Arabidopsis thaliana: one gene and its partners. The protein of the gene in region 1 interacts with the protein of each later gene in a biochemical or structural test. Each region holds a gene or a part of one and is shown on either strand. Other genes may lie near its edges. The genes, in order: ABF2, ARIA, DREB2C and DREB2A.

Region 1 (4,798 bases):
TTAACCTTTTATTTTGTCCTCGGAAAACATGGAAAGATAGAGTTGGGTAAGACGAAATACCTAAAGATAGTATTTGATTTTACACCGGAGACGAAACGAATCAACGAAAAACTAGGGTTTTGCAGGTGAAATTAGGGAGAATTTGAGCGACGAAGTGGGAGAGAATGAGAGTGAACACTTTCATTTTTAGTAACTAAAAAATCAAACCGAATAAGTCGGTTTTGGTTCGATTCGGTCATCGGTTAAATTGGTTCGGTTATGTATTTATTCTCCATGCAAATGATTAATCCCGTTTGGTTTGGTTATCGAATTTAGAGGAATTTTACTTTGATACATACATAAATTTCAGTACAAATGTTTACTTTGTGTAACTGTCGGTTCAGTGAACCACATCAAACCGACTCGGTTACCTCATCCGTCCGAAATGACCAAGGTTCGGTTCGGTTTGGGTTATAGTCGCTTGCCTAGAAGGCTAGAATGCTGTGTTGGCACAGGTCATAGTTTTGGCACTCAGAGAAACCAAACAACACTTCAATTCTTCAAAATTGGTAACTCCAAGATCAAGAAAGTACATTTTGAGGTTTAATAGCGACAACGACAAACAACAACGAGAAACACACACAAAATTCTTGGTCTAAATAAAGCAAAAGAGATTCTGATGATCCTGTGTATGTAAAAAACATAACATATATGGAGAGAGCTTACAATATAAACGATGAAAGCTCTTCTCTATTAAGTCTAATTCAACTAAAACACCTAAGTGGGATGTCATTTATCTACAGAAACTAAGTATGATGGCATTGATTGATTCACCAAGGTCCCGACTCTGTCCTCCTCAGCTTTTTCTTTGGACCTCCTTGCAGAAGATTCCTCATCTCCGTCTCCTGTTTTATACATAGCACGGAAACAAACAACCAAGTTTACAAGTTCAGCTATGAAATGTGCAGTTTAGAGATTCCAGTGTTGTTGCATTGGCATAAGAATTATTACCTGATTCTTTTGCATTTCCATGATCCTTGCCTGTAAAACATGAGGCGTACAATGAGAAATGAATGTAACGTATGAGCAACTGTGATGCTGAGACATGGTTTTGTGATTACCTGCTTTCGTTGTAACTCGTCATTCTCTTCCTTTAACTTTGCAACTTCAGCTTCAAGCTCCACGGTGTAAGCCTATGAACCAAAACAAGCACGACTGAGAAGCTTATGAGATAAAGACTAGAGTGCCATTCAAAACATTTAGACCCTCAAATGTAGAACTCAACAGTTTGGTCATAGTACATGTCAGATGTAACAGGTTTTTGGGAGCACCAATTACCCATTACCTTGCCCCAAAAGAAAAACCATGTCGCCACTACTCAGGTTTTGACGATGAACCCTCACTACTCATTTAAACTCTGAGCCACCTCATGACATTAGCAAATTACATTCCAGTATATTGTTTGGTCTGCCGTGAATATCTGCGGATGGGCAACATGTATATACACCAAAACCAGAAGGTTCATATTTGTTTGCGAGATTCATTCAGCCACAAGTACTGATTTCAAGTCCCAATAATTCTGTTTAGTTGTTTACTACACTACTTCACACAAGACACTTTACGCTTTGAATTCAACGCTTCATTGTGGTTAAAGAACTTAACTACAAGATAAGCTAACCAATTTACTTTACATATCTTTTGGCTTATAACACAATCAAGAGTACATAGATAGATGGTGATGAAGAGATTAACCTGTTTCCTGGCCCGGGACCTTGCAGCTGATTCTCGGTTCTTTATCATTCTCCTTTGCCTTCTCTCTACAACTTTCTCCACAGTGCCACTCTTTCTACCTCTCACACCACCATTAAACATGTAAGGAGACGGAGAGAGTGATGAAGAATCACCATTACTCTTCCCTATCCCTTCTGATGACAATGGCGTAACAGGCGACACAGCACCAACGCCTAAAGCTCCAGGAATTGCAGCAGAAGCACCTTGGACAAAGCCCACATTGTTCGTTAAAGACTGATCTCCAAGTCCCACAAGACCACCACCTCTTATCCCAGGACTATTAAGCTGACCCATTTGTGTTCCATAACCAAAACCAGGCTGCTTAGGCATGATTGGCTGTTGCTGTTGCGATTGCTGGTATGTTGTTCTAGCTCCATTCACATTCAGAGGCAAACTAGAACCTTGAACCTGCAAAGAATTTGCAGTCTCTGCACCAAGATTTCCCATTACACCAGCGGCAACAACTCGTGGAGAAGGCTGCTGAAACTCGACAGAGAAACCTGTGTTGGCATCATTACCAAAGTAACCGCCTTTATTGTTCTCAGCAATCTGAGCTCTTGCAGCAACCTGAGCTTCCTCTCTCACAACACCAGCACGAACCAAAAACTCCTCCAAAGTTACTTCACCTAATGTTTGCTGCCTCTGACTCTGACTCTGACTCTGAGCCTGAGCCACCTGAGACAAGTTACTTCCCCCTACTCCACTACTTCCAACTTTGGATAGATCTTTCCAAACTTGATCAACCGTCTTCTGACTAAGCGTTCGAGGCAGAGTCAACGAGCCTTGCCTCTGCAGCTGCAAACCCTCTTGACCTCCACCAAGAACTGGAACCACACCACTAGCCATGGCTTGTGTTTCTTCAGCACTCCATATATTCTTTAACAACTCATCCATGTTCATTGACCCAAAATCTTTCCCTACACTGCTCTGAAACTCATCAAACGTCAACGAGTATATCGAACCTTGTCTAGTCAACCCTCCACCTCCACCACCATCTCCTGGTGGCTCATTCCCCAAATTCATACTACCATCCATTTTTCTACAAAATCTGCTTCCACCTAATAACTGGATCTGAACCATGAATACAAAAAAAAATCCAAACTTTAGTTTAAAAATCCAAACTTTAGTATCAGAACCCTAATCTATAAATAAAAATCAAGAAATCTGCAAAACCCAATTCAAAAACACTAACAGATTTCAAAACTTTAATAGTCAAATGGATAAAAACAGATTAAACCAACAGGAGAATATGAATGCGTTTATGACAAGTATTAGGCACAATTAGTAATTTTATCCAAAAATTAAGTGTGGACATAAATCGAAAGAATTAAAAGAAGATGAACAAAAACCACAGTTTCTTCTATACACACAAAGAGAAGAAAAATCTATTACCTTTTTGCTAAATTCGTGTGCTTTGTAATTTTCCCAAAAAATTTCAAAATGTTTGGTTCTTCGTTTGGGTGATTAGGTAGTTTGTCTGGTGAGCCAAGTGTCTCTCTGGCTCCTAACAATCTTGAATAAATACTACTTTTGCTAATTATTTTAATAAAATGGTATATACTCTGTATCTTTGTATTTTGCGTCACTTTCCCTCTTCGTTTTTATTTTACTAATTTCACTTACTAATTGTTTTCCTTTTCAGGATTTATGTTGTTTTAATTTACTTTAGGTTCCTAAAATAAGTTGTTTTCACTTTGGAATTCCGTCCAAAAATCATTGTATCTACACAATAAATTAAAATGTTAAAACGTCTTTAAAATTGTAAAATTAAGATTGGATTATGTTTATGAAAATAAAGTATTATATACTAGAAAAGAAATGAAAATATTGTATTTTACATATATATATATATATATTAATATTATATCTGGCGAATTTGGATATGTTGACTTGGAAATTATGATATCTAGATCCAAATGTTGCTTGGACAAATCCAAATTGTTACTACCCAGATTTCCAAGTAATATCTAAATATTTAAATATTTTGAGAGAAACCAAATGATTTTTGGGTATGTAAACTTTAAAATTGTATTTAAATCAATTTGGACGGATTCAAATTTTTACTATTGATCTCAACACTTTGAATATCGGAAATTTTGGAAAGAATAGTGACAAATTCTTTATATCGGATTCGAGATAATAATTTCACTCTAACAATTGTGCTAATTAACCAATTAATATTTATTTGTTTAGGTACACATGGTTGCGGTGGTTGGAGAACAAAATGGGTTTGTAGATTAGACAACTTCTTATTTATCATTCACAAAATTATAATTTGTAGTGGTATATACAAAACAAAAAGAAAAAAAAACTCTATATACAAAATAATTCATATAGTTCTTACATAAAAAATTGGTATTATATATGGGTATAGTCCTAAAACTTCTCAGAAAGTTTACATATCAAAATGGATTAAAGTTTACCAATCAAAATGTTCGTTAAAAAAGAAAATATTGGTATAATTCCAAATTTTAATCCGATTTATCCACAATATCCATTCAAAACCTTAATTCTTTTTAAAAAAATCAGCTAATATTTTATTTCACCGGTGAATTGAAAACGCTTCTCCATCCTGAAGTGACAAAGGTCCAATAATCAATCACCTGAGTTTGTTATTTATGATCGGTCCACTTACTTCTTTAGTCCTCTGATTACAAAAGTTTTAAAAAAGAAAAAAGTAGTTGTAACGAAATAACGTGTCGCTCCATTACTGTCACAACCAACAAAAACAAAAACACGAACCAACCTCGATGAGACAGACACATAATGAAACCAAATCTCAGCCGTTGATTGTCGATGTAACGTGGACGAACACTATTATTTGCTTTCACATCGACTTTGTGTTTTGTGGGGGAAGATGTCAGAAACCAAAGAGTCTTCTTACTTTTTTTCCATTGGTCCACGTCTCTAGTTTTTAGTTGGGCTCACCTTCACATTATCAAACCCATCTTATTATTTTTTACGTTTAAAAATTAAATACAAGGACAATAATACTCTCAATTCACTAATTATAGTAGTGTTTTTTTTT
Region 2 (7,738 bases), on another chromosome or scaffold:
TAGGAGGATTAACATTGAGCCCAAAGGAATAACTAATTGATAAATCAGAAAATGCTGTGACTAAATCAATAACAGAGATTAAGGAGAGTAATCTCGTAAAGATCGGAGATCCTATAAGTGGATAGTTTCGAGAAGAAGCATTAAATCACCAACTACGAGGAAGGAACATCGGTGCTTAATCACAGGGTAAAATCGGATCAGACAAATAATTATCCGTTTGCGATGAGAATAAACGGAAATGAAAAGCGTACCGGACCGATGAAGATTGTCTGAATCTCGGAGCTCTGAGACTCTCTCTGGCTGCAAAATCGAGTGTGTTTTTAGGGTTTCTCCTTCACCGGAGCTCTTTAAAACTCCCTCCTACGTTCGTTGAACCAAAAGTCTCTATAGACTAATTTAAAAAAAAAAAAAAAGAGAAAGGTTAATAATTCATCGTGACTTGAGTAATTAATCACTTTGGAAGAAAACGTAATTAATTAGAACCAACCTGGTAATTTTGAATCTTTCATGTTAAAGAAAACTCCTTTATGTGTAATGTAATTTTCAGTGGCTTGTGCTACAAAATACTTACAAGTTACAGTCTCTAATCATCAGTAATACTTTCGATTGATTCTTTATTTGTAAAACAAAAATGGGATATTATGTTCTGTGTTGAATCATCTCTTAATTATTCAGACATGAACTCACTGGTCACCACTACCAATATCAAATCGTTACAGCTACGCTTAGTCACAACCTACCCAAAGTATCTTTTCTCAACAGAGAGGATAGTTGGAGAGTGGATTTTGAATTGAATAGTGGAAGTTATACCACAATGGTATTTTTGGATACAAAGGGTAGCGATTTCATTCAAGACCGATTGTGATCAGAGGAGATTAATTAATACAATACAAAATGACCAAAACGAACCAAAAAGCACAGCAAATAACTAAGACAACCCAGTACAGGACGATAAAGACCTCTAATGGCGGCTCTTGATCTCTCTCTCTCTTTCTCTCTATATAATTCCTTGTCTACTTACCTCTAGTTAAGTGCAGTCTTCTTCTTCCGCATTCTACAACCTCAAGCTTTGCAGGTTTGTAGTAGACTTTGTTAGGGCTCTACAAAAGTACTCTCTTATCTCTGGTATTGTTCTCTGCACCAGCTCGTTCTGCCTGCATTTTCCATTCACTTTTGTTTCAGACTAATAGCAATAAAACAAATCTTAGTGGAGAGAGAGAGTGACATCTTGTTTATATTACCAAGGCATTGAACTCAGTTTATCGAAATGCTCCAGGATGAACATGATACAAGCTTGCCTCAGCGACATCGCATGGAATGCTTCTGATAGCTCGTACATGTCTCCTATACTTTCCAACGTAATATCCTTTCATATTCAAAGTAACCGTGTCAGATTTCGTTAAGTACTACGCAAACCACATCATCACTTTACATTGTGATATAATTCTGGCTCACCTGAGCAATTGTGTATTCACAGAGTCGTTTCAGGCCCTCCAAGAGATACTGATCCGCTGCTCTTAGAAGATCTTTTGATATCTCATTTGTTATGTCGACAGATCCAGTGTATATAAACCTGAAAATCATAATCCAAGGGAGTCAATTACGTGTATATGAAAAGTTCTCACAGACTTTTCGAAATTTCAATATCTCGAGTGAGTCAATCAAAAGCATGCAGAGGTTCATTCATCATACCTCATCATTAACTCAAACACCTCCCATTTGATATTTGGAATCTCAATATCTCTAGCGTCTTTTTCCTGTGATATAAACGAAACACAAACCGTGACACAATTCAGGTCTAATTTCCCCAAAAGATAATTGTATTCCTTTGATAAATAGCAGACCAGCATACATCCATACGTCATTGTCATCAAAATATCATTTACCCCACAAGAACATTATCGAAAAACCAAAATATTTAGTTCACTTACTCTGTAACCACCATCAAACATTGCACGAAATGCATCTGAGGATGCCAGCAGACAAATTCTGTGTGCATAGAATGTCCTTCCTGCAGTATGATTTTTCTGTTTTACATATGGACTTTGAAGCTAACTAGAGTTCCACAACTTCTGGATTTATATATGATTACCTTCGACTAGAAAGGTTACATCAGACAGCGTAGCATTATTTACATATTGCTCTCCGAGATAAACCTGTCACAAAAAGACATACAGAATACTGCATTGAGACTTCCACCCGTTACCTATAGGAGAACTGAAGCAGAAAGGAAACTCACCCTTTGTGTTGGAGAAGGAGGAGCAGCATCAACTGGAGAAAGTGCCATAGATTTATTTGCTAATTTGTACAACGCTGCTGCACCGTCAAGTTGCTGCTTAGTGTTTAAAGAACCAAGAAGACCGAGTAGCAACTCCAACCCTGTCAAAAGACAACTCAATATTAACTTTTTGGACAAAGAACATCTAAACTGGACGGTTAACGCATTAAACATAACGCATGCATCTCATTTAGCTCATGAAAATATAAAAAAACTGTCACATGCCGTTGTCATCTATGAATATGGTTCGTTGATCCTCGGGTGAACAGAGATGAGCAAGGGCAAGAGCAACTCGTCTTTGGATAGACTTCTCTGAAATGCGCATTAGGTACAACAGATGTCTCAGAACCTACAAAAGAAAATCAAAGCACAGAAATCTCAAAGGTTGAATAAAGAAATGCTAAACTTCAACAGAGCTTCAGAAACTCAACCAGGATAAAGCAGTTTTAGTCATCAAAGATGGAAAAAAAAAAAGAATTAAAGAAAAGTATAGTTTCACTTACTCTTCCATGAATCTTCTCCTCCAATCTCTTTAGTGTTTTGGAAACACAATCTTTAGTTGCCTAAAAAATCATGATATATTATAAACACCTTAAGGGGAAGAGTAAAAAAATACGATTAAAGCTGCTAAGAAACTTCAGTATCTAGCCAATAAAGGAGTATGACAATGTGGTTCTGTAAAGTAGAGGAAGAGTGGCAACGCCATACATACTTGAACAATAAACTCTCCATCCTGTAGCTTTTGGATACCTCCCACCCTGATAAAATCTGACACATTATCCTAGGGGAAGAAAAATGGATCAATAACCCATTTACCGACGTTTACCATCAAATTCTGCATAATGAATAAACCGAAAGTAGCATACAGCACACCTCATTATCGGCAAGGCCATAAAGAGCAAATGCAGCATTGTGTTGCAATGATCCATTTCTTGAATCGAGAAGCTTCAATAAAGGTCCTAAACCACCACTATGGGCAATACCAGCTTGATTGTGGGCATCCTGCAAGAAAGAGTATGCTAGAAATCAAAAGACACATCGGTTTTATTATTTAATATAACTCACTACTTAAAAGTTCCCCCTAATGAAAACAGATTTAGAAACACAATAAGAATACCCATCTTCCACAACCATGGAAGCCAGCTTTTTTAGCATCTATAAATTTAAAATCAAACCAATCTTGAAGTAACCAATAAGAAAACAGTTGACAATCAAGGCAACAGCAAATTATCCAGGATCACTAGGAATTATTTGAAAACACTAAGAAACAAAAGCTACAAATTAATAACAGTTGTGGTATCAAATGTTTGATCTGGAAGTAAGAAGAGGTAACATCTAAAGCGTGAAGTTACTATTTCACAACACTCAAATGGGAATGCGTACACTTTCATAACCGAACTACCAAAAGTTTTAAAAGAAGAACCTGTGCCAATCTACCCAGTGCAAAGGCCGACATTTCCTTCAACTGGACATCCGGGGACTGAAGCATCTCAATTAAAGGACGGACAGCACCCCTTTGCACAATGTGCACCTGCAAAGTTATAATTTGAGCATGAAGTGAAGAATGAACAAAACAAACCTATATAAATCAGGGAAAATGGTAGAATTAGTGAGAAATGGGAAGGTATGTTCTACAAATCAACAGAAACAAACAACTTATCACTTCGTATAACCAAACAAAAAAAGATATAAGGCTTTCGGGAATGGAAAAAGAGCTGAGGATAAAAAAACCTGGGATGAAATTGTACCTTACAATCAGAATCAGTTGAGGCAAACTGCCCAAGTAATAAAGCCGCCTCTCTTTGACTCTCAGGGCAACAGGAGCTGTAAAAGAAAAATTCAAGAAATCAAAAGAATGAACTTGGGGTTAACAGCGAAATAAAAACCTCAACAATAGAGAAGCTGGTAAGATTTCAGCTCTAGCCAAAGTCATAACAACTCTATGCTGAACCATCAACCATGTATATCAAAATGGTGAGGGTCCACATACCTAAGAAGACCAATGACAGGTTGCAACGCCCCGGCAGTAAGAACCTCTTTTTTAATGTGTGGAGACGAGTGTACTAGATTGCCTATAACTCCAACCTTAAAAAGCATGACTCAACTGGTTATTTCAACGTCAATCCCACATAGATAAATAAGTAGCAAAACAGTTGATTATAAAAAGATTCCTAACCGCTTCATAATGTATAGCAGCATCCTCTGATCCTAGCATTAGAATAAGTGTGGGAAGAGCATTGCATTCAACTATCTGCAAAGAAAATAATTATCATGCTCCGGCTAAATCTAAGTAGAAGCTGTAAGATAGCAATATTTACCTGATTCTTGTTATCATCATTTTTAAATGCAAGGGTTCTCAATGCCCCTGCTGCTGCTCTCTGGACCTTTGAATCAGAAAATTCAAGCAACTCCACGAGAGGTGGAATACCGCCTTCTACCCTGTTTGTCAAACTGGAAGTCAAGAGGATAGAGTTGTACTGAAAACAAATCTCGAAAGGAGAAAACCACTTAAATATGCTGACCTAACACGGGTCTTGATACTGCTGTTCTCATGAGCAAGATTGGTGATGGCATCAGCCGCTCTTCTGATAACACTATTCACAGCTCGAGAGCTAGAACCATCTTTGTTTCTCTTCAACAAATTCACTAAATGAGGTAAGGCACCTTTGTCTACTATCAGTTTCTGATACTCTGGCTGTTAAGAAATCAATTCCACAACACGATCACACAAACAATACATAATCCCCTCCGTGTATAAGAGTTCAATTACCAAAATTTTGCCTTAAAAAAAATTGATTTGGATCAACAAAACAAAAAAGGAAACTACTTTCTAACAAGCTAAACACACTATACAAGGAGCTGACATAGAGAAAATGAGGATCACAACCTTAATAGCAAGAAGACCAAGCGCAAAAGCGCTTCCCTTCTCAACTTCGTGTTCGTACGGCTTCTCAGCCAAGTCCCCGTCGTTGTATGGTGGCGCCTGTAGATGCGTCATAAGAGCTGGAACAGCACCTCCGTCGACAATCACGTTCACTAAATCCTCTGCTGAACATCAAAGGTCACTAGTCATGCAACAAAATATGAAGAAACCGGAGAAAAAGGAGTAAGATCGGAAGCTGATTTTCACCGTTTTTGGCTAGCTCAGCCAGAACTTGAGTGGCTCGCTTGGCAGCAGCGCGATCGGACTCTTGCCAAGAGAAGGCAGAGTTTAGTACCGAGACTTGAGCAGCAACCTCGCTAAGAAGCGCTTGGCCTCCGTCGGTGCTGACGGCAGAGATCTCTCGATCTTCTACGGCGGCGGCTCCTTCCTCTAGCTTCCGCTTCTGTCCTTTACGCTCCGGAAAACTCCGGCCTTCTCGCCTCTCCGGTTGTTGGTCCATCGTTCACAAAGTAAAAGACGATCCGAAGAAGAGGAGAGATCAGAGAAGAAGAAGAAGCAGCGTTTTGAAATCAATCTCAGGCACAAAAGAGATCAGGGGTATTTTCGTTATTTCATTCGACTCACAAATAAAAACCCTTTATTTTATTTTTATTTTGTATTTCTAGTTTAAATTGTAAGAAAAGAAAAAAACAAATTCGTACTTGGGATTAGAGTATTAGACATAAATGATCTTTCTTATTAATGTCCAAAGAATGTATAATTGAAACGTTTTTAATTTTTCGTTTACATTTTTGATTGTTTATATATTGAAATGTTTTTAGACAAATATATATATATATATATATATATATTGAAATGTTTTTCTAGCGACATAGTGCTAATTTGCGCTCCTCACTGGTGGTGCCGATTTGCTAACTTGGGCGTACCGGAACTGAAAAGATATTGTCCCACTCCCACCTCGAGGTTGTGCAGTTTTATTGCAACAACTAAAAACTTATTGTTGATGGTTTATAGTCATTATTAGTTGGTATCAATAATAATAAAAATAAGTAATAGTAAGGCTTTTGAACTTTTGGGTGGTCTGCCACAAAGGAGACGTGTTTGAAAGTGTGAATAAAAATATCAAAGAGAGAAGAAAGAACTATTTCTTTAATTTGAGAAGATAAAAGGAACTATTTCTTTATATATGGTGACCACATGAAATCAAAACTTCGGAGGCACGAGCATGCTTTGAACAAACAAAGGGGAAAAAAAAAAGCGAGAACAAACGATAAAGTGGAAGAAAATAAAAGGTTTATTCATAGAATCATAGCTCATTATGATATATGGAATTCAGCAGCATATCTCTTTTTGTGCCTCTCTCAAGAGCAATAGAGCATGTATCTTATTATTTGTGTTTGTAAAAATGTGATTGATTCACTATGAGATCATAAGAAATAATTATTGTGAGGTCTAAAGTGGGCAAATGCCTAGGTAGTGATGTGTGTGATGCTATGTAGTGATGTGTGAAGCTAGCTGGTATCCATATATACATTTTTTTCTTATAAAAGTATCAATATATAATGATATACATGTTACTTGCAATTTTTTTATTTTATTTTACATTTCACATAAATAATATATTTGTTTTGTAACCCAATCAAGATGATATAATGTGGAGTGTCCAATAGAAGATTTTCGAAAATAATGGGCCTGATCATGAGCCAGGTCTCGTTGCTGGGCCATATAGGCATGAAATTCCCACGTCAGCCGCAATGGAATTAACGGAGAGAGAAAAGGTCAAAGGACCTCTCTTTGACTCGCTCTTCGTTTTTGATCTCCGGCCGGACCAGAGGGTCAACACCTTCTGCTCTCTGACCTTACCTAAACCCTGAACCTTCTCCGAATCACATGCCAGACCATTGAGATTGTTATATACTTATATATGTTTGTTTCCTGTGTTTTAGAATCATACAAAACTATAGTCTAACCGGGCCAAGTTCCAAGCAATCTTCTTGAGAAACCAAGACTTGATCTTAGCTAAGTCACAAAACTTCCTAGTGGGTTTCACCCATCCGATAAGAGTTATATTATATCTCACCTTAACGTTGAACTACGAACAAAGACATTAGTCGTTCCAAATTGCTTAAACAAGAACAGTAAAATTCTTTTTTCACATGACACAACATGATTTAAGTTTTTGCTTCTTTTATAGCATGTGTGTGAAGTTAGATATCTTAAGTTACATTCGTCACAAACTGGTAGATGGCGAGTGGTTTCGCTCTGCTTCATGTTGGTCTAGGCCAATAATCCTTTCAAGTGAGAAACTGTATCTCATCGTTCCGCTTGACTACATGTAGACATTTTAAGTGGCAAGAAAACTCGTATTTCTATAGACTCGGAGTTAGTGTAGGTTTCATCTTAAGATGAGTACAAAGAAAAAGAAAATAGTGATCCCAGGCTAAGACAGTGTATAGACTCGTTTATAGTGTTTTTGTTTGTCCATCCATTCTTTGCTGTATTTTTTAGTGTAGTGAAAGAAGACAGCGTGGCATTATCATGATTGAAGTCATATACAGATCTAACGAATACGTCAA
Region 3 (4,284 bases), on another chromosome or scaffold:
CATTCTTGCGGAGAAGAGGACACATTGTCAAAGGGAACTTGTGGAGGTGCAATACCCACCAATTCATTGGATTTAATTAATTAACAGTTTGCCAACTTGATTTCTTCATTTTTCTAAAGGCTTAGAAGATCTTCAAGATTCGAGCAAGAAAAACGATTTTGGAGACCAGAATGGAATAGTTAAAGCCTTTTAAATAATATACAACTATGTCCCATTTGCACTTTCAAATACCCAATTTGCCTTTTGTAGAAAATACAGATAGATAACTCTCTAATGATAACTTTATTATTCATACCTCATTGCTTATGTAATCTCAGACAACCTGAGGAAAGTCTGCAGACCAAAAAACTCCACTACTGGATATTTCCATTAAACTAAGCCAAGTTTCTTGAATAATCAAAACTTGCCAAGTCAATAAAACCACTACGCAACATCGCATTATTCCATCTCCATTCTTAAGGATGAAAATTAGATGTGAGAGTATCCAAAGTTCAAAGATCAAAACTTTATAGCTTATATGCATCCGAAGTTCAAAACTTTGATATGTACCGAATGTTATAAACTTTTTCTAAACCCAACGTTTGAACTTCTTCATATGTCATATGTATTCACAAGAAAAAGAAAGAAGGAATCATATTTGAACTTGTCCTACATTACCTAACTACATGTACTACGTCTCACAACCATTAATATCAGAAAGTATCAGTAGCTTCAAAGAAGGGCAGCTTCTAGCTAGTAACAGCTACACCGTCTCGGAGCAGAATCACAAACTTAGGCCAGTCAAACGAAATTTGAAATCTTATGTAGATCCATGAACATCTTTGTCTCCTCCAAAATCCAAGTCCTGTATGTCAAGATCATTGAACCTGCGATGGTCTAAATCAATACCATAGTTCTCCATATCACTGGGCTGCACATAAGGACATCCATAATCAACTCCTGGTTGAGCAATCTCCATAGGGTTGAGGCTCCCGAGCAAGTTAGAATTTGGAAACTGCGTTTGGTAACTGAAATTTGGGTGTCTATCCACTTGATACTGCATTGTCTCTTGACCAGACACATTGTTGTCGTTTAATATACCCAATAGCTCATTAATATCAAACGTTTCATCCACACCAAACTCCAATGGTTCTTGTTCATTGCCATTTCCCATCAACCAAGCATCCAAAGTCTCCCTTTTCGAGTCCTGTCCAATTCCAAAACCAACAGCCAAGTTATGTTCTTCCCTCACTTCCTCTTTTCCTTTCAGCTCCTCTTTAATACACTGAGAACTATCTAAGAGAACATATTCATCGCTACAATCCTCTAGTTTCACCTGACCAAAACCTGAACTTGCATTTGTATCCTCACGTGCACAAACTTCAGATTCATCAGAAAATGCAGTAACCGAGCCTGACACAGTGGCAGTGGCAGCAGTCGAAGAAGAGCGATTTGTGATCTCGGGAAGATTGAGTCTGGCAGACTGACCATATATAGCTTTGGCCGCCTCGTCATAAGCCAATGCAGCTTCATATGAACTGGAGAAAGTACCGAGCCACAACCTAGCACCTCCGTCTGGCTCACGGATCTCAGCAACCCATTTACCCCATCTCCTCTGTCTAACTCCTCTATAGTCACAAATCCCGTTTTCAGGTCCACCTTTACCTTTCATACAACCCTTCCTCGAACCTTTTGGAGGAGGCTTTCGGATTGATTTTGGACCACCACCATCGATACAAGATTCTGCCTCAATCTGCTCATTGTACTCTCTCCATTGCCTTAGAATCTCAGCTACATCTCGTGTTCCACGAGACTTCCTTTTCCTGGTAGAATCAAAGGGGATAGAAGCAAGATTAGCAACATGCTCGAGAACTCCAATTTTCTCTCTTCACAAAATTTCAAGCAACAGGTTCAACTATACTTCGGATCAAAGCACCTTTCAAAGAAACAATTTTTAACCACCTGAACGTAATTACACCGAAGTAGCTACAAGAAGAAGTTTTCATAATCTGCAGCATCACAGCGAGCAAGAAAGAAACTCCATCACGAACAGATTAAGAAACTAGAACAGAGCAAACTCAGAAACAGAGAATCACCTAAAGATTCAACATAGAATCCATAATCTAACTTCTGTATCAGGAAAGGTACCACCTTTAACGATTATTTTAGCTAAAAATCCTCTAATTTCCAAGTCTCTTAACCACACACGAACTAGAATCCACAAATCGCACAGAACTCAATCCAAAAGAGACAAATTGTGCCCCAAATTAACAAATTTCAGTCAACAAAAAACCCCAAAAACCCTAAAATTGAAAAACCTTTCAGCTTCCACCTATTACACAAACAAAGGAACTTGGAGGATATACACACAAAACAACAAAAATCGATAAAAAGAAAATCTTAAACCCTAACAATGAACAATCACATTTAGCAAACATACAGAAGAGAGGAAAAAAAACGGAGAAAAATCGAAAAATGTAACAAACAAACCTGTCAACAATCTCCGACGGCATGTAAGAAAGCACTCGAACAAAGTAGCAGCTGAAGAAGAAGAACACAAAGGATTCAATGTAATAATAGTAGTAGTAGTAGTAGCAAAGACGATAGCTTTTGTTTTCTCGTTAGCAGAGAAGAGAAAGGTTTGGGATTGTGAAAGGAGAAGCCTTTATATATAGACAAGTCTTAATTAGATATTTCAGATATTTAGGTGATGACGTGGCGTTCGAACTTACCAGATTCTGATTTGCGGCTGGATCCAGAGTCCTTTCCTTTTTGCTTTGGGCCTAAGTTATTTCTGATTATGCTTTTTGACTATTTTACCCTCAAAGCTTCTTTGTAATTTCCGCTTATGATCCCTTTTACTATAGCTGAATACGTCATTTACTCATTTTCGTTGACTAGTCAAAAATCAAGTCTTCTTCCACACGAAGCTATGGGCTAAGTATGGATTATTGTTTTATATTTTTTGTAAACTTTATTATTGATATGAATAAATTTAGAGAAAAATATTAATGTTTTATATGTGTTTTGGTTTCGTGGATTACCCTTAAGAGCCTATTATGCTTCTTTTCGCGAGTATATAACACATTGTGTTAGACAAGTTCAAATTGTGAATGAGACTATGAGTGAATTTGTCGTTAAATAAAGGAGACCAGCCTTCGTGGAGAATTTCTATTTTTCCTACGAAGTGACAATCCATTTTCTCTTTGTCTAGTCAAGGATCCATCATTCATTGTAATATGAACGTTAAGAAACTGTCACATACATATGGAATCAAATCCATATTTGGATTTAAGCCGACTAGTAACGCCCCAACTTAACCAATGCAGTTATTGGACTTAACATTTTGGAAATGCGAGAAGTTAGAGATCTCAACAAATAAAGGCGATCATTACAAAACTTAAACCTAGAAAGAGGATAATTTTGGAGTGATGGTGACGTAGAGGATGATCGCCAGTTTCTTATCATTTCAAATGCTTGATAGAATACATCTCCTCATAGATTGAGAGATAGAGAATATAATATTTTGTAGTGGTGGTGATGAGGAGGAGGAGGATTGAGTGTTATGAGAGTTTCAGACCACTCTTGGTGACAATCTAAAGATCTTCCTTTGTTTACTTTCTTGCATTTCAATAAAGCTCCATATGAGCTATCTCATTTTCAATCTACAACTTAAGACCTCACAATAGTCAACTACGATTAACAATACACTAGAACTATCTAGGAGAACATATTCATCAATACAATCCTCTAGTCTGACCTGACCAAAACCAGATCTTGCATTTGTATCCTCACGTGCACAAACTTCAGATTCATCAGAAAATGCAGTAACCGAGCCTGACACAGTGGCAGCAGTGGAAGATTGAGTCGGGCAGACTGACCGTAAATAGCTTTGGAAGCCTCATCATAAGCCAATGCAGCTTCATATGAACTAGAGAAAGTACCGAGCCATAACTTAGCACCTCGGCCTGGCTCACGGATCTCAGCAACCCATTTACCCCATGTCCTCTGTCTAACTCCTGTATAGTCACAAATCCCATTTTCAGGTCCACCTTTACCTTTCATACAACCCTTCCTCGAACGTTTTGGAGGAGCCTTTCGGATTGGTTTTGAACCACCACCATCGATGCAAGAATCTGCCTCGGTCTGCTCATTGTACTCTCTCCATTTCCTTAGAATCTCAGCTACATCTCGTGTTCCACGAGACTTCCGTTTCCTGGGCATAGAAGCAAGATTAGCAACATGCTCGTGAACTATTGGGCACAGAAGCAAGTCCCATTTTTTCTCTTAACAAGATTTAAAGCA
Region 4 (4,407 bases), on another chromosome or scaffold:
TGTAGTTTGTGTGCAAATATTTGTTGGAGGTCAGTCTATTGTCTCTGAGTGCAGGTAAGTGTCCATTATACTGGAAAGCTTCAGGGGAATGGGAAGATTTTCGATTCCACCGTTGGAAAATCACGTTATAAGTTTCGTCTAGGTTGGTATTATAACTTGATGCGAAAGTAAGAGCTTTATTAATGTGTGAGTGGTACTTGGATACTTATGTGCTTGCTGTTACACATACAGATGCTGGAAAAGTCATTAAGGGATTGGATGTTGGCCTTAATGGTAACCTAGCTAGTTTCTTACTGGTTTTTCTTCACTAAATATGGTCAAATGGTGTGTTGTTTTGATCTCTTTTTGTAAATTTCTAAAGGAATGCTTGTTGGTGGCAAAAGAAAGCTTACAATTCCTCCAGAAATGGGGTAAAGCCTTTGCAAATCTTTTTTTATTTTTCCATAATGTGATGTTTTATTTTAAGCTTTTTTTAATGAGAGATGATAAAATTGTCTGGCTCACAGGTATGGTGCGGAAGGTGCTGGTAGCATTCCCCCTGACTCTTGGCTGGTCTTTGATGTCGAGCTGCTTAATGTTAAATAAAGCTGCCCTCTAATCCCTAGAGAACTTCCTAAGACTCAATCCAATGATGAGTTTTTTTGTGGAGATCGTATAGTTTTTCCTCTTACGATTTCAAATATTGTGAGACACACTAAGGCCCATAAAGCTTCACAAGTGTGTATTATTCATTCCTGTTGTTACAAAACATAAAACATATCTAAAGAACAACTTAAGAGAAGCAGACTAACAAACTATAGTTGTCTTCTCTATTGTCATATCACTGTTTCGATATATACAGTTCACCTTTATAACAAGAAAAAACGTGTTCTGTAGTTCTCTATATCACTAAAACTCGGATAGAGAATCAACAGTCGTTGTGGGATTAAGGCAAATATCAAATCCAAAAAGCTTCATATTGTTTTGTTTAGTTCTCCAGATCCAAGTAACTCAAGTCGTCGAAGAATCCATTACCATCCTTTCCCTCGAGCTGAAACGGAGGTATTCCGTAGTTGAGGCTTTGTAGCGGATCAAAACCACTTTGTTGACTCTCGGGCCTGTATGAACCGTTGGCAACACTGTTCCCCGGGTACCGGTCCTGATTTAAGCCTGCAAACACATCGTCGCCATTTAGGTCACGTAGAAGCTCATCGACATCAAACATGTCTGAAGAATCCAAGTGACTCTGATCCACATCATTGGGCCAACCATAGTCTGCAACAGATAGCGAATCCTGCTGTTGTTGCTGACAGGTTTCTACAATCCCTTGCTCCTTCTGTTTCTCTTTCTCTTTCAGAATATCACTCCAATAGTTATGTTCAAACTCGCTCAGCCAATGCTTATCCGCTTTAACACCTCTCTTCATCTCTTCCGCACCATTCTCCAGACAATACATCGGCTCCACTCCACCGGAGAAGGGTTTAGATTCACAATCTGGATCCTCTGTTTTCACATGAACACAACCAGGAGTCTCAACAGTACACACCTCAGACTGACTTGAGGTACTCGTAACCTCAGACGCATCAGACCGAGGGAAATTAAGACGAGCCAAAGGACCATACATAGCTTTAGCAGCCTCATCATAAGCAGAAGCAGCTTCTTGAGCAGTAGGGAAAGTACCAAGCCAAAGCCTGCTACCTCGATTAGGCTCTCTGATCTCAGCAACCCATTTACCCCAAATCCTTTGCCTAACTCCTCTGAAACTACATCGGCTATTCTCTGGTCCTCCTTTACCTTTCATACAACCCTTCTTCGACCCTTTCGCAGGTACTTTCCTCTTCTTGGTAGAAACTTCTTCTACGGTCTCGTTATACTCTTTCCATCTCTTTAATCTCTCAGCCACAGTAGTACCGTCACCTCTACTTCTAGATTTCCTTTTCCTCGATGTATCAATTTGTGTTCTGTTTCTATCTCCACTCTGATCATAAACTGCCATCTCCTTCCCAGAAACAACACAATCTACAATACAACAACACTTCAATATCAGAACACAAGCTGAAACATAAGGCAAGAGAACTTAAACTTGGTTCAAAATCAGATCGATTTACTTATTTGTTATCAAATTAGGAACACCTAAAATTTCCCAATTTCACAGCTATACCTAAAAGGAAATAATCGAAAACCTAAAGACGAAGATAAACCCTAGAATCACCAATTGACGAGACCTAATCAGAGAAATTAATTGAAAATTTGTAAGAAATCAGAAATCAACGTACCTATAGGGGACGAAATTTGAAAATCAAAGTCTCTTCCTTCGAGTTGATAAATCGCTTTCGTGTTTAGTCTTCTTGCTCGTATCTTTTCTTCTTCTTCTTGTGTGTAGCTTTTTCGAGTTTTCCTCTTCTTTTTATCAGACAGCTTTAGCAGAAATCAAAATATCTAAGGAAGACAAAGTATCTACGGAGTATTTATAGCCTTCTCTAGATTTTTCTAACATTATTTTATTTTTCTGTTTGAGAGCAAGGTTACGTGTCAGTTTTTGATTCGAACATAAAGGCTTAGACGACTTTTCCGTTCGACGAGTGTCCTCCCGAATCTTCTCGAAACACGCTGTTGATACGGAAAAGTAAAGTTTAAACCTTTTTAAAATTGATTTATGGATAAGATCATAAAACTACTTCATTATTTAAATATTATGAAATTTTAAAATATCTTCATTTTTTTTTTATTAACCCTGACAACACAACACTGTCTCATCTGCTCTTTCTCGATTTTTCTTGGTTTATTGCCAGTTTGCCACTGCATCACACTTACTAGATGTGTAATTGGATGATGATGTTTATTGCCTGTTTTTCTAGTTTTTACAAACGTGCACATTATTCAATTTTGTTTTGATGAGATACTTATCGTTTATATAGATATTTTTAAAAAGATCACGGTTAATATTGTAAAATTAAAGGTTTCCGGTGTACGTACGACATAGAGCGAATTCATAAATGTGTCAGCCAGAAATGTCTTAAACATGAAGTATTAGTTTAAAGTTTAAGCATTAAGTATTAGCTAGAGACGTGTCAAATGGTGAAGCTCAAACTTGGGTGGCTTAGCTTCGAGCAGAGGTGATAGGGTCCATTACCTTATAAAATTTGGGAATCGCAAGTTGTAGCAAAGCAGCAGTCATTTATAGCCTTTGCATGTGCCTCATGTGTCCTTTGCTAACCAAAGCCACTTCATCCACTACGTGTCTCTAACGGCATCGCTAACGTAAGCTCACGCAATTGCCTACGTACTTCAACCTCATGGGCCTTAGTTACTTAACATCCATTATCAAACCCATTGCCTACGTGATACAATCCCATGTGCCTCAGTTAATTAACATCCATTATCAAACCCTTAAAGCCCGTTAATCTAAATTAGCCCATTGGATGGGTGTCGTCCATTTTATTTCTACCGTCGGTGTTGCTACTATCTCGCTATCTCAAGCACGATCGGGTGAGCATCTTCTAGTCTAGTCGATTGAGCCTACAAGTTTCTATCTTCTGGATCTATATGAAATTTCAGTTTGTTTGTTTTTTTTTTCGCTGAAGAGAAATTTCAGTTTTTATTGGTCTAAATAAGGCATGAATTTGGAAATCTGTATCTACGAGTTGGTTTCTTCGCTGTAATGCTTGTTTGTTTTTGGTTTAGTGAACAACATTTGGATGATAAATTATTTGTGCGGAAAAAGCTGCAAGATGATGCCATGATGGCAACACTAATTTTGTTGCTGACTGTAGACTCTCTTTTCTTCGACGACCGTGAGAAGAGCTCTGTAAGTTTGGCTTCTTTCTTTCCATATTAGTATGAATAGGTTATTCGCGTGGCTATGAATCATTCAGCATTGTCTAAGGCCTAGGATCGATAGGGAGGAACGCATTCATTACAATGATTTAGGTTATCGATTACAAAACCATTATTGGAAAACGAGATGTAAGTAAAATGTTGACTTGGCTTGGCCAAACCACGTTAGAATTGTGTTAAGAAAAAACGAGCACATAGTGCTCACTAAACTTGGCTCTGTTAACATCCCAAGGGTCGTTGACCTTATGAAAAAAATGTTATCTTGGTTACAGTTCATTTTTAAAATAACATAAATATTTGATCGAGTCGTAGATGACTGGATGCCAAGATTGGTGGTCAACCCGAATGATCGTGCACACACCTCAGTTAATAAACTAAAACATTAGGAAAGGAATTTGTATATTAATCTCTCTGGTAGGAATTTGAGAATCTATGAGAGATGGGAGCCTGCTTCTCTGTGGCAATATCCTGTGACCAGGCTGTTAATAACCTTACAAGCTGCCTTAGCAGGAACCAAAATCGCTTCCGCAACCTCGTAGATCATGTAGCGGCTCTAAAGAAAACTGTACGACAGTTGGAGGCAAGACGAGA

What was found.
Region 2: the proteins of ABF2 (region 1) and ARIA form a complex in vitro, tested with the Arabidopsis thaliana proteins (one study listed by BioGRID).
Region 3: the proteins of ABF2 (region 1) and DREB2C form a complex in vitro, tested with the Arabidopsis thaliana proteins (one study listed by BioGRID).
Region 4: the proteins of ABF2 (region 1) and DREB2A form a complex in vitro, tested with the Arabidopsis thaliana proteins (one study listed by BioGRID).

Annotation. Positions count from the first base shown.
Region 1 is NC_003070.9:17,164,611-17,169,408, forward strand, and holds ABF2 (abscisic acid responsive elements-binding factor 2), read right to left. Parts: upstream 3,280-4,798; 5' UTR 3,163-3,279; intron 3,132-3,162; exon of another isoform or gene 2,872-3,131; 5' UTR 2,851-2,871; coding exon 1,732-2,850; coding exon of another isoform or gene 1,579-1,731; exon of another isoform or gene 1,460-1,578; coding exon of another isoform or gene 1,415-1,459; exon of another isoform or gene 1,173-1,414; coding exon 1,101-1,172; intron 1,021-1,100; coding exon 991-1,020; intron 885-990; coding exon 810-884; 3' UTR 548-809; downstream 1-547. UniProt on the Arabidopsis thaliana protein: Involved in ABA and stress responses and acts as a positive component of glucose signal transduction. Functions as a transcriptional activator in the ABA-inducible expression of rd29B.
Region 2 is NC_003076.8:6,507,041-6,514,778, forward strand, and holds ARIA (ARM repeat protein interacting with ABF2), read right to left. Parts: upstream 5,762-7,738; 5' UTR 5,662-5,761; coding exon 5,409-5,661; intron 5,327-5,408; coding exon of another isoform or gene 5,324-5,326; coding exon 5,166-5,323; intron 4,974-5,165; coding exon 4,801-4,973; intron 4,718-4,800; coding exon 4,597-4,717; intron 4,530-4,596; coding exon 4,455-4,529; intron 4,364-4,454; coding exon 4,269-4,363; intron 4,103-4,268; coding exon 4,027-4,102; intron 3,810-4,026; coding exon 3,702-3,809; intron 3,281-3,701; coding exon 3,152-3,280; intron 3,060-3,151; coding exon 2,991-3,059; intron 2,842-2,990; coding exon 2,782-2,841; intron 2,628-2,781; coding exon 2,504-2,627; intron 2,380-2,503; coding exon 2,240-2,379; intron 2,157-2,239; coding exon 2,093-2,156; intron 2,012-2,092; coding exon 1,932-2,011; intron 1,758-1,931; coding exon 1,693-1,757; intron 1,574-1,692; coding exon 1,456-1,573; intron 1,407-1,455; coding exon of another isoform or gene 1,367-1,406; coding exon 1,242-1,366; intron 1,155-1,241; and 3 more. UniProt on the Arabidopsis thaliana protein: May act as a substrate-specific adapter of an E3 ubiquitin-protein ligase complex (CUL3-RBX1-BTB) which mediates the ubiquitination and subsequent proteasomal degradation of target proteins.
Region 3 is NC_003071.7:16,847,866-16,852,149, forward strand, and holds DREB2C (Integrase-type DNA-binding superfamily protein), read right to left. Parts: upstream 2,623-4,284; 5' UTR 2,493-2,622; coding exon of another isoform or gene 2,470-2,492; exon of another isoform or gene 1,989-2,469; 5' UTR 1,986-1,988; coding exon 1,942-1,985; exon of another isoform or gene 1,803-1,941; coding exon 800-1,802; 3' UTR 524-799; downstream 1-523. Other genes in the region: AT2G40350 (Integrase-type DNA-binding superfamily protein), read right to left, coding at 3,730-4,195. UniProt on the Arabidopsis thaliana protein: Transcriptional activator that binds specifically to the DNA sequence 5'-[AG]CCGAC-3'. Binding to the C-repeat/DRE element mediates high salinity- and abscisic acid-inducible transcription.
Region 4 is NC_003076.8:1,600,218-1,604,624, reverse strand, and holds DREB2A (DRE-binding protein 2A), read right to left. Parts: upstream 2,421-4,407; 5' UTR 2,256-2,420; intron 1,999-2,255; 5' UTR 1,976-1,998; coding exon 968-1,975; 3' UTR 586-967; downstream 1-585. Other genes in the region: AT5G05420 (FKBP-like peptidyl-prolyl cis-trans isomerase family protein), read left to right, coding at 55-142, 232-273, 362-410, 507-585; AT5G05400 (LRR and NB-ARC domains-containing disease resistance protein), read left to right, coding at 4,256-4,407. UniProt on the Arabidopsis thaliana protein: Transcriptional activator that binds specifically to the DNA sequence 5'-[AG]CCGAC-3'. Binding to the C-repeat/DRE element mediates high salinity- and dehydration-inducible transcription.